Linked DNA regions of Caenorhabditis elegans. The protein of the gene in region 1 interacts with the protein of each later gene in a pairwise test. Each region holds a gene or a part of one and is shown on either strand. Other genes may lie near its edges.

The links. Proteins that work in one complex are often made in the same cells at the same time.
Region 2: the proteins of mpk-1 (region 1) and lst-1 interact in a two-hybrid assay, tested with the Caenorhabditis elegans proteins (4 studies listed by BioGRID).

What each region holds. Positions count from the first base shown.
Region 1 is NC_003281.10:4,224,607-4,230,355, forward strand, and holds the start of mpk-1 (Mitogen-activated protein kinase mpk-1), read right to left. Parts: upstream 3,489-5,749; coding exon 3,285-3,488; intron 1-3,284. Other genes in the region: F43C1.5 (uncharacterized protein), read left to right, coding at 4,591-4,659, 4,705-4,821, 4,942-5,081, 5,133-5,209, 5,283-5,504, 5,747-5,749. UniProt on the Caenorhabditis elegans protein: Functions in let-60 Ras signaling pathway; acts downstream of lin-45 raf kinase, but before the lin-1 gene product in controlling vulval cell differentiation. Plays a negative role in proximal germline proliferation in the mitotic zone.
Region 2 is NC_003279.8:10,586,243-10,591,155, reverse strand, and holds lst-1 (Lateral signaling target 1 protein), read right to left. Parts: upstream 2,656-4,913; 5' UTR 2,645-2,655; coding exon 2,615-2,644; intron 2,484-2,614; exon of another isoform or gene 2,478-2,483; coding exon 2,409-2,477; intron 2,223-2,408; coding exon 1,677-2,222; intron 1,595-1,676; coding exon 1,341-1,594; intron 1,164-1,340; coding exon 1,076-1,163; 3' UTR 692-1,075; downstream 1-691. Other genes in the region: Histone-lysine N-methyltransferase set-18, read right to left, coding at 13-207, 254-343. UniProt on the Caenorhabditis elegans protein: Plays a role in germline stem cell maintenance, perhaps acting in concert with mRNA-binding factor fbf-2.

The DNA of each region.
Region 1 (5,749 bases):
GTTTTTTATATAAAATTCCTGGTATTTTGTAACACATTATTTTATTAAATTTAATCTTTAAAAAATATTATCTTAAAAGTTGAAAAAAATTTTCGCGTTACAGTAACCATTTCGAGGGATAATAATAACAATCATTTAGCGTTTGTAAATTTTGCAAGGTCGAGGTAAAAATCCCACCACGAATCGGAAAATACAAAAGTATCAAAAATTCAAAACGACTGTTACCACCAAAACTGAAAAAAAACGATAAAAACCATGAAGTGCAACAACCGCCTTCATTTCTTCTTCTCCAAACGAAACATGAACAAACAGTAGCCAAATGGTTGGTTTTGTTAGGATTTCAGAGTGAGTGCCAGTAGACTTCCCTTGGCAAACAATGCGTGTGTTCTATTCTCAGCCATCTCCGGGGGGCAAACAGGGGGCGATTTTCGGATGAGACATCAAGGAGAAGCATCAACTAATGTAGACGTTGTGGTGCAAATACACTTAGAAGCCCTTTTTGGAGTAGAGAAAAAGGAAAAAAAGAAGAAAAGACGAGTTTCTCCATTTTTTGAGTTAAATGAGGCGAAGAGGAAGGGAAAAAAGTATTCAAATGACTGGATCTGCACCGATGAGCACAACACGTTAATGAAGTTCGAATAACGAATTAAAGGATATAGGATGCATGTCTTTTTAGTTCGACATAGAAAAAAGGAGTATACTTTTCTATTTTCCTTTTTGCAGTTGCGAACTATCATTTTTTGAGAGTAAATAAAATCTCGCGTCACTTTTTTCTTTTGCAAAATCTGAGATTCTCGCCCAAATCACAAATCCAGAGATTAAGAAAACGCGGAATTTTCGATGAAATGGAAAAGAGAAAAAAAAATCTCTCACAAATGAATTATTAGAGTTTGGAAAATTAATCGTTTTTATGTTACGATGAGATTTAATGCGGAATATGGAGCTAGCAAGTTCAATTCTGAAAGTCGCAAAGTAGAAAAGAACCTGCCGAAATTTTTTTGAAATCCATATAAAATTTTAATGAAAATCGATCTTTTGAACGAGCTCTTCTTGTCGTCCGCATTTCCATCTTAAATCTCAAATTTCGAAGCGTGTAATTCTACGCTTTTCTCTTCTTTCTAACGTCTTCAATTTCTTCATCTCCTCCTACTCATCATCTTCATCGACAAATAAACCAACGCGTACAATTACGGTTTTACGATTCCGAGGAGAAGAATGATGAGTGTTGCTCTTCTTTCATATCAAATTGGTTTTTTCTTCCATGCAGCTCTCCACGCAACAATAAAAACCGAACGAAAATGAGAGGAAATCCGACACAAAACACACCCAATTCCGAGGAAAATTGAAACATATGTGTTGTCGAATGAGTAAGAATTTTGAAAGAAGATTCAATTCGAGAAATAATGTCGGGAAATTCAGTTTGTCTCAGTTGCAAAAACTTCCGGGATATTGGAAACGTTCCGAGTGAGAATTTGGCCAATTGAACATATGAGTTTTATAATGTTCAATGCCTTTTTCAACTTATTTCCATGGTTTTTCAGATGTAAAATTCCAGATTTTCAGATTTCTGGTTCAGAATTGAATATCAGATTCTCAAATTTAAGGAAAAATTGGTAGTCGGAATTTTTGTTTTCATTTCCTGTTGAGTTCGCATTCATTCTATATAGAAGAAACTATAGATTCATCATGACAAAAAATGGTATTCAACAATTGTAACAGATGTATGAAGTTATTAGATAAAAAACTAATTAGTTTCTGAAAACTACTACTGAACACTTTAACTCCGGAAAAATTCAATTTCGATACTGTGAAACTACAATGAATCAATCTACATTCATTTTGAGAAACATAAATAATACACAAAGTACCTCACACCTCTGTCAGTCATTCACCCGGGTACACAACGGGATTTCAAAATAATAGTTTGTTGATGGAAAGCGGGTAGAAGATAGATCAACATCAATTATTAGTGTAAATCCTCGGGGTTCCCAAAGGAATACGTGTCAAAGTACAGTAAACTGTAGCTCAAGTCCGGAAAAAAGGAAAAATCTGGGTCATCTAGGCCAAACGCACGAAGAAAACTTCCGGAAGATGGATTCTTGTATTTGAACACTCCTTTTCGATTTTTCCTTGTTCGTTTAAAAGTTCTGATTTTCGGTTTGAAAAAAAAACATTGTTTTTCTCTCCAATCTCCGCTTGCACGCTGGAATGTCAATCAGACGACCAATTCAATTAATTCTATTAGATTTTAGATGTCTTAACTGGAAACTTTAGAAGAATGCAAATATATTCAATTTGGGGGACACTCAGATTACGGTAATTTGTAGTGGAACCTCGAAAATACAACTATTACCCAGTAGCGAAATTTTAGGATTTTTACGCCAAAAAATACGGTACCCAGTTTCGATTTTTTAAATAGTTTTTCTCATAATTAAAAAAAAACCTTTTTTTTAATTTGAGGTTAAAAAAAATTTTATCGAAAAATTTTGATGAAAATTACACAGCAAAGTTTAAAATTACAGTACTCTTTAAAGGCGCACACTTATTTGCATTTACCAAAAAATGTGTCGTTTCGAGACCGGGTATCGCATTTTGGGATACATACGAAATGTTCAAGTTGTGAACAGTTTTTTTCTACTAGCAGAAATTCAAATTTCGTTGAAAAACTACGATTCTAAGAGGTGTTCCGGTATAAACTAAATACGTCAATGAAGTGTCAATCTGCAAAAATCATCAAACCTTCAAGCTTAAAACACAAAGCACAATTTCTGGTTTAAAATTTGAATTTTTTCATTCAAATCAACCATTTTCATTGAGCTATTCAAACTTTCACACTTCCGTTTCTCTCTTTTCCAATTCAAAAACTACCAATCAACGTCACATCACTAATCTTTTCTTCCAGCACACACACACAGTACTCTGTCACGGTAGTCTTAATAGGCTAATAAAAGTACAAAGTTAGTGGTTTTGATGCAATACGCAACTTATTTTCCCGATAATGGGAGCACAATGGGCAAATCAACCCGATTACGTGCTATGTTCTGATTATTTGAACATTGTGCACTTTTTTGAAAACGTTTTGTGAATTTTGCAATTAAATTGAATGACTTAATTTTTTAATGTATTTTTACTTTCTAATTTAAATTCAATGTAGAAATTCAATGCAAAAATTTCAAATTTTCCAACTGACCAAAGAGCATTTTAATATTTTTCAGCTTCTAAAAATGCTTGTTTTTGTTTATTTTTCTCCAACTTTTTTTTTCATATTTTCTTATCATTCGTACCTTTCTATGTCCTGAACGAGTGTACTGCCATTTCTGTTGTCTGACGTGGTTGGTTGCTCCATTCGGTATGTTGCTCGAATTACGGTATGCCAATGATCCCGGAGCAGATTGTTGTTGTGTCGCTTGTGGATGCCCGTTCGATGGTGGTTTAGCATTTCTCGTTGTCGGCTGTGCGCACAAATTGTTAGGTATCCACGTTGGCATCATGTTTCGTGGTTCTGAAATTAAAGAATTATTAGTTTTATGAAGAAGAAGTTCTGGCAACGGATAAAAATATTTGAGAGTGTGAAATATTTCGTCGGAAAAGAAATTTCTGATATTGCAAAGGAACTTTTTTTGAAAATTCCCTCAATTTACCAAATTTAACTGTTAAAAAAAACTATAGATTTCTTTTTCTGAATTTTTAATGATTTTTTTCAATTTTGCAAAAATAAAAGAAACGGCTCCATGATTTTTTTTTTGATTTTTTTGTGAAGAAAACTTGACGACCTGAAATAAAATTTCGGAAACTTTAAAATCAGTTCAAAATTCGATTATTTAACTATTATTTCATTTTTTGTTTAAAAATGTATGAAAAGTGAAATTATAAAAATCCATGAATTTTGCCAGAAAGTGCAAAAATTCAAATTCCCTTCCGCCGATTTTGTATTTATATTTCAGCGAAATTGAATAAATCATTGAAAAATTAAACACTGTTTTTTTTTACAGATATATTCGGGACATAAGGCAAATTTTCGTATTTTCTAGCTCAATGGATACACTAAATAAAGGAAAAAAAATCGTATAGAACTTTTCCCGCAGTAAAAGTAAAACTGGCCAACTATGTAAAAACAGAAAATGCAGAAAATCTATTCGAAAGTTGTTTTTATGAATAAAAAGTCTATGAGTTTCTCCTCGTCAATTAATTAGCTTCGTCAGAAAATGCATAATATTGTTCCTGTTTTGAAGCCATTTATCTTTTGTATGGTTTCCCAAATCACTATGTTGAAGTAAAAAAGAGCAAAAATCATTTATGATGTCAGAGAAAGCTTTTTTCCGAACTTTAGAGACTCTAACTTGCAGTTTTTCAAAAAAAAAACTCCGAGTTTACTAGCAATTTCACTCCAAATTCTGCCTATTTTCCCTGTATTTTTTCATAACTCTCTCACCGCAGACCGATAATACAATCACCATTGTACACACACAACACTGTCTCATTCTTTTTGACCGCCCACCCAAAATGTTTAATATTTGTACGAGCGTTCTTCTTCATAATGCTGACTCATTTCATTTTCAACACTATTTTTCAGCTTTTTCTAACGAAATAATGACGGATTATGATGACTATGAAGACCGATCTGGTGTGGTAGAAGAAGAACTATTGGATTTTGATAGAGTACGTCTAGAATCAAATTTGGCAACAAATTTTCAAAATATTCAGGCAATGCTGGACTTTCAAGCTATGTTTCCCAGTCTAAGCAATTCACATATTGAATATGTTCTACGGAAATATGATGGAGATGTTTCAGCCACTATTAATGAGCTACTTTATGATAACGTATGTTAATTTTTTTGTTTATAGAAATTATTGCTTTACTACACGAGAAAGCACTGTCAGCGAGAATATTGTATCTCAATTGTTCAAATTTCGATCGATAAATTCCAAAAATAATTTCAGACGCCAACTACAACGACTTCTGAATCTATTCCACATGGAGGAGACTTAACAAAATTAAGGCAGCGAAGGCATGAAATAAACGAAAAACTGAGAGAAAATCAAAAATTTTTGGATACGGTTACAGATGTGGAAATTGCGAGGTAGAAAATAAAATTATTTATACACTGAAAATCGTGAGAAATAAATTTCAGAGCATATGAAGACCAACAACTGGCCTTATTACTTGAACACCGAGAAGTGAACACCCTTATCAGTGAGGAGAAAAAGAGTGAGCTTTTATTTTTGGGAAAATATGGGAAAAACAGGAGAAAATAAACACGTGGCGTCACAATTTCTTTCAGAAAAGTCATGTTCTGACTCATCTTCTATTCAAGAATCGCGCCGGCATGTGAAAATTCCCGGGAAAAATTCGAAAAATTCTAAAATTAGTGTGAACAAAGCGAAAAAATTGGAACCGAGACGACGATCGGACGAAGATCGTGTTCCAGATGGACCATACATCGGGGAGGGAGAAGTAAAATCGGAGAATTTCGCGGCGAAAATAAAGGAAACGTTGAGAAAAGGTGGGGTGGCCATGATTTATAGGGTCGCGAGACTATGTTTAGTTGATATTTCGATAAAACATCTGTGAAACCATTAAAAATCACAAATTTCCCGCAAAAAATCAAAGAGAAATAACGATTTTTGCAGAAAAAAACAAAGAAAATTAAAAAAAAATTTTTTTGAAAAATGAAAAGTCCGCAAATACGCGTGGCGGTGTTTGCGTATTTCACCAACTACCGTACCCAAATATTATTTTTTTCAGCTT
Region 2 (4,913 bases), on another chromosome or scaffold:
TTAGAAACCCACAGCTTTCAGTCTTTTGCATTCTGGTTTATGAACTAACCAGGCAGTTGCCTGACACTCTTTACTACAATACATTGAGAAATTACATCCACCACAACGAAGAAGCTTCTCTCCTGGAGCAGGACCACGAAGACAGTTTGCACAGAATTCGCTCACTTTTGGATTGAGAACTTGAGTGGCGAACGGTGTCTCGAAAATCTGTAATTTGATTTTTAAGAAATTAAATAAGTACAAAAAAAATCACCTTAATTCTAGCATGAATCGACGAAATTTCGTCTTTCTGAACCAATGGATCCTCCTGTTTTGGCACATTCTTATTCTTTTTTACAGCCATTTTCAGAAGTTTCAGTAGAAAAATAAATGTTCACAAAAAGTGTCGAATAGTAAAGATTTTTCGAGAAGAAACAGGAAAAAGAGGGAAAGGCGGAGAGTTCGCGAGATGTGGATGAGTGTAATCACGGCAAATATTACACACGAGAAGCCTCTTGGAGCACCCCTATGCATCGATCCTTCGAGAAGTTTGTTGAAGCATGTTCAATCTATTCGCGCATGATATTATGTTTCCAGTGATCGATGAATAATGTGTGGAAAATTCCGAAAATCTTCAACTGTGTGCCTCATCCCAATTTGAGATTTAATTTCTGAAATTCCTGCCAATAAATGAATAAGAATAGCGAAAAGTAAATATTTGACATCTTTATTTTATCGGGCAAGATCCCACCAGAGACAAAAGAGCACATGGATATACAGCGAAAGATTGGATGGGATTTGAAATTCACATAATTCGCACAGTTGATTATGTTTTATTAAAAAAGGGAAGGGGATCAAAAAACAGGGATGGTGGTAATATGTAAGTTAAACATAAAATGGTGTGTGTGGCAGGAGCTAATAAGGATCAGAAAGAATTAATATAAAAAAGAAAAACGCTCACACGGAATGCCCGTATTCGTCAACAAAAGAATCAAGAAGAGAACCGCATTTTTTTGGATGATAGTGTAAAACAAGAAGAACATTTGAAGGGGGTGGTAAAATATAAATTAATTGATATTTAAACCAATTTTATTGCTTAGACTGGAACATTTCGAGCGTGTCCCATTTGTTCGACCATTTCTGAACCGGCACGATCGAGTTGAGCAAACCACAGTCGGGGACATCTGAAATAATAATAATTTGAGAAGATTTTTTTAAAAAAATTATTAGATTTTCGAAGTTTAGATATTTAAAAATCGAAAAAATTACGAATTCCAACACAATTTTTTAAAAGAAAATTTTAGGTCGTGTTTCGATAAAAATATCAATTTTTAGATTTCAAAGAATAAATAAAAACATACGTGACTCGTCCTTGCATATCATAAAGTGTATGCCAATTCCATGGGCCATCACATGAGATGAGTGGTTCGAGATTTGCAACTCGTTGGCACAGTTTCACATACGACTCCCAGCAATAGTGACACCGAACCCATGTGCCCGGAGACATTGGAACCGATGCTGCAGACGAATTGGACGTCACGTTGGAATTGTAAGTTGTTGGCATATAATCCACATATCCACTTGAACGCTTCACGTTGGCATATGATAACTCCGACTGAAAAAAGTAAATTTTTATTGAATTTTGAAAATTATAATTTGATTTCTTTAAAATCACTTAAAATTTATTTTAAACTCACCGGCATTGCAACTTTTGGAACAATTGGTGCGACATGTCTCGTGGATCCATTTAGACGACTCGACCCGCTGATCTGGCTCACATTGTTACGGGATGTGCTGGTTGATGGTTGCACTGGTTGCTTGTATCGACAATCAGGCAAAAGAAACATGTCAAGATCCACGTCAACTGATGGATCCATGATTTCGTGGATTTTGTTCTCATTGTCTGACAATGTCAATCCAGAAAACATGTTCTCCGACGAAGAAGCCGACGAAAATCCGGAAGATGGTGTTCTCATCAGTGGTGGTGGGCCAGACGTTTTTCGAGAATTGTAGTGTGTCGGGCGATCAAATGCATGATAATGCTGTTGTTGTGGAATCATTGCACGAACTCTCTTGTTCTTCTCTATATACGTCAAATGCAATTTTTGACTTCTCAGGCCCGAACGTTGTTGGGGAGAAGATGACAAGCTGGAGAGAACTCCGCTATCTTGACTGGATTCCCAAAAATTGGAAGGTTGATTGAGCGGAATCAGCGGCTTGATTTCAGATCGGAGTTGAAGCAGCTGAAATTAATTTTTATTAATTACGTCTATTTAATGAAAAATTATTTATTTTAATTAAAAAAGAGCAAAATTCTGTTTTTGGAGCGCAAAATTCTATTTAGTGACGAAAGCCACGTGAACGGCGTGACAAAAAATAGGTCAGTTTCGACACGTTTATATAAACGAAAAATAAAACTTCCAACTCACTTGCTTCGGCGCCTCGTGTTGCGACTTCGAGTAGGCGATGGTACTACTGCTTTTGTTGCAGTTGTTTCTCTGAAAAATGATAATATTATTATAAAACTGAAGGTAATAAAAGAAATGGAGAAAGTTGGAGAATCGGGATCATCGTTGAAACAATTCAATCGGAAAGAGAAAATACATATTTAATTTCAAAAAAAAAGTGAACTCACTCTTGGAGGAAGAATAAAAGTCGAACACATTGTCTCGCGCGAAGATTGAATAGTCAAATAATTCTTTTGAAATGAGAAAGAACATGGCACCGACGAATAATTGGACAATTCATCGAAAATAACAAGCGTGGGAAAGTTGTCATTTTCCCACGTATTTTCCCACGCCTGGGGGAGGCGTGGGAAAATGCAATGGAGCAAGAATGCAAGAGCTTTTTTGAATTTCGCGGGCTTTAAAAACATTTAAAAACATGTTTTTAATCGACAAAAAGTTTATTTTTAAAGAAAAAACATTGGATTAGTCTGAAAATTGAAAAAAAACCTCAAAATCGCTTGGGCAAGCAATTAAATTTGAGAAAAACGTTCCCAGATGGGAAAGAAAATAGTTTCCCATTAATCGAAGCCGCTCAAAAAGGTGTGCGCCTTTAAGATGTACAGTAACCCACTCCCCTTTCGCAATTTTCTTAAGCTTTTTCTAGTTTTTCTATTTCAAAAATAAGCAGAATTACATGAAAACCTGAAAAATAAGGCAAAAAAAAAATCTTAGCGAGAAAAAAATAACGTGTAAAATTCCTTGCAAGCGGGTTACTGTATTTCTTAAAGGCGCATACCTCTCAACGCGTCCCGGAATTGGAAATATTTCGTTCGTAAAATATAGAAGTTTTAAAATTGGAATGTAAAATTGTCATCGAAGCCTCATCAACCTAAAATCCGAACACTTTCAATCGGAACTAATCTAATTTCAATCGAAATGGGGGAAAAATGAAAAGAGATGAGAGTAATTAGAGTGACTAAATGAAACGATAAAAACTACGACAGTAGGTGGTCAATAACGGCAGGTAGAAGATGAATGGAGACCTCTTCTTTAGGAGAAAAGAATGACAAGATGAATCATTGAACAATACAGCCATTTGTCAATTTGAAAACATTTTGGGAAGATATCTAAGCATTCTCAGATGTTTGGGAAATTGGAACTTATCAAGGAAACATTAAATTTAAACGGAAAAAAGGTTTAAGATAACAAAAAAGCGACATTTCAGACACTTCGAAGATTTTATTATCGTTTTGAAAACGGAACTGCATGAAAATTTTGTTTTAAAAAAATAAAAAATAAAAATATTACCTAGGTACGAAATTTTGCAATTTTTACGACGAAAATAAAGTACCAGGTCTTGAATTTATGTTAAATACAAGCAGGTTTGCGCCTTAAATCTACAGTACTCCTTGAGACTACTGTAGATTCAAAATGTTCGTTTCCGTCGAATTTTCATCGATTTTTCAAAATAGTTTTTCTTACATTTGGCACAATTTATGTGTTTTTTCTAATTTTTATAAATATTTAAGTTTTATAAAAAATTTTACCGAAAACCTACGAAAAAATCTTTGAAAATTCTGCAGCGATCACCACAAAAATGGGCTATCAAAACATTTTTTCGTGGCGAGACCCATCCGAATGGACCTGTGTGCCTTTAGCTTACTTTGGTGCCATACAATAAAATTTCGATTGTAAAGAAAAAACTACAAAACAACGAAAACTATAAAGTTTCCAAAAACTTTATCACTAGGAACGCGATTCAATTCTCACTAACTTTCTTTTTATCAAATCACACTCAAAATTCAATAAACCGATTAACTAAATGGAATGCCGTCAGTAGTAACAATTGAAAGATTATTAAAAGTGTAAACTTCAAGTGCAAGCTCTCCTTCTTATCAGTTTTTTGTCACGTATTTGAACAGATGGAGGAACATGAGAGACAGATTGAGGTCAAGTATTCGAATACTTTAAAGCTGGAGGAAAAATAAAATTTTAGTTTTCTAGAAGAATGCTTACTATTAGTAATAAGTTAAGAAGTAATCTTCTTCTTAAAATCTTAAATAAATAGCGAACATCTTATGTTTCGAGTAAGTGAAAAAGTGTACACAAAAAACCTGTGTGCTATTTGAACTTTATCAGTATGTAAATATTTAGATGGCATTCGGGAGGTTAGAGTAAACCACCCAATATTTTGTTTCTAAACTATTTTACTTACTCACTAAATATTAGTTATCGCGTAACCTTTCGACGGGGGGCGCAACTCACAATCACCCTCTCTCACCCGAAATCGCCTCCGGAAAAGAGAAGGTGGCCTGTGATTCTCAGACTTTGGTAGCTCACAACTTGACTATCTTTTTGCTAAATTTAAAAATTGCAAACTAACATTGTGATAATAATTTATTTTTCTATATTTTTGTAATTAAACATTTTTAATAACTATATAATAAGCCAAGAAAGGTCTATTTAAGTGGAGCGACAAAAACATGG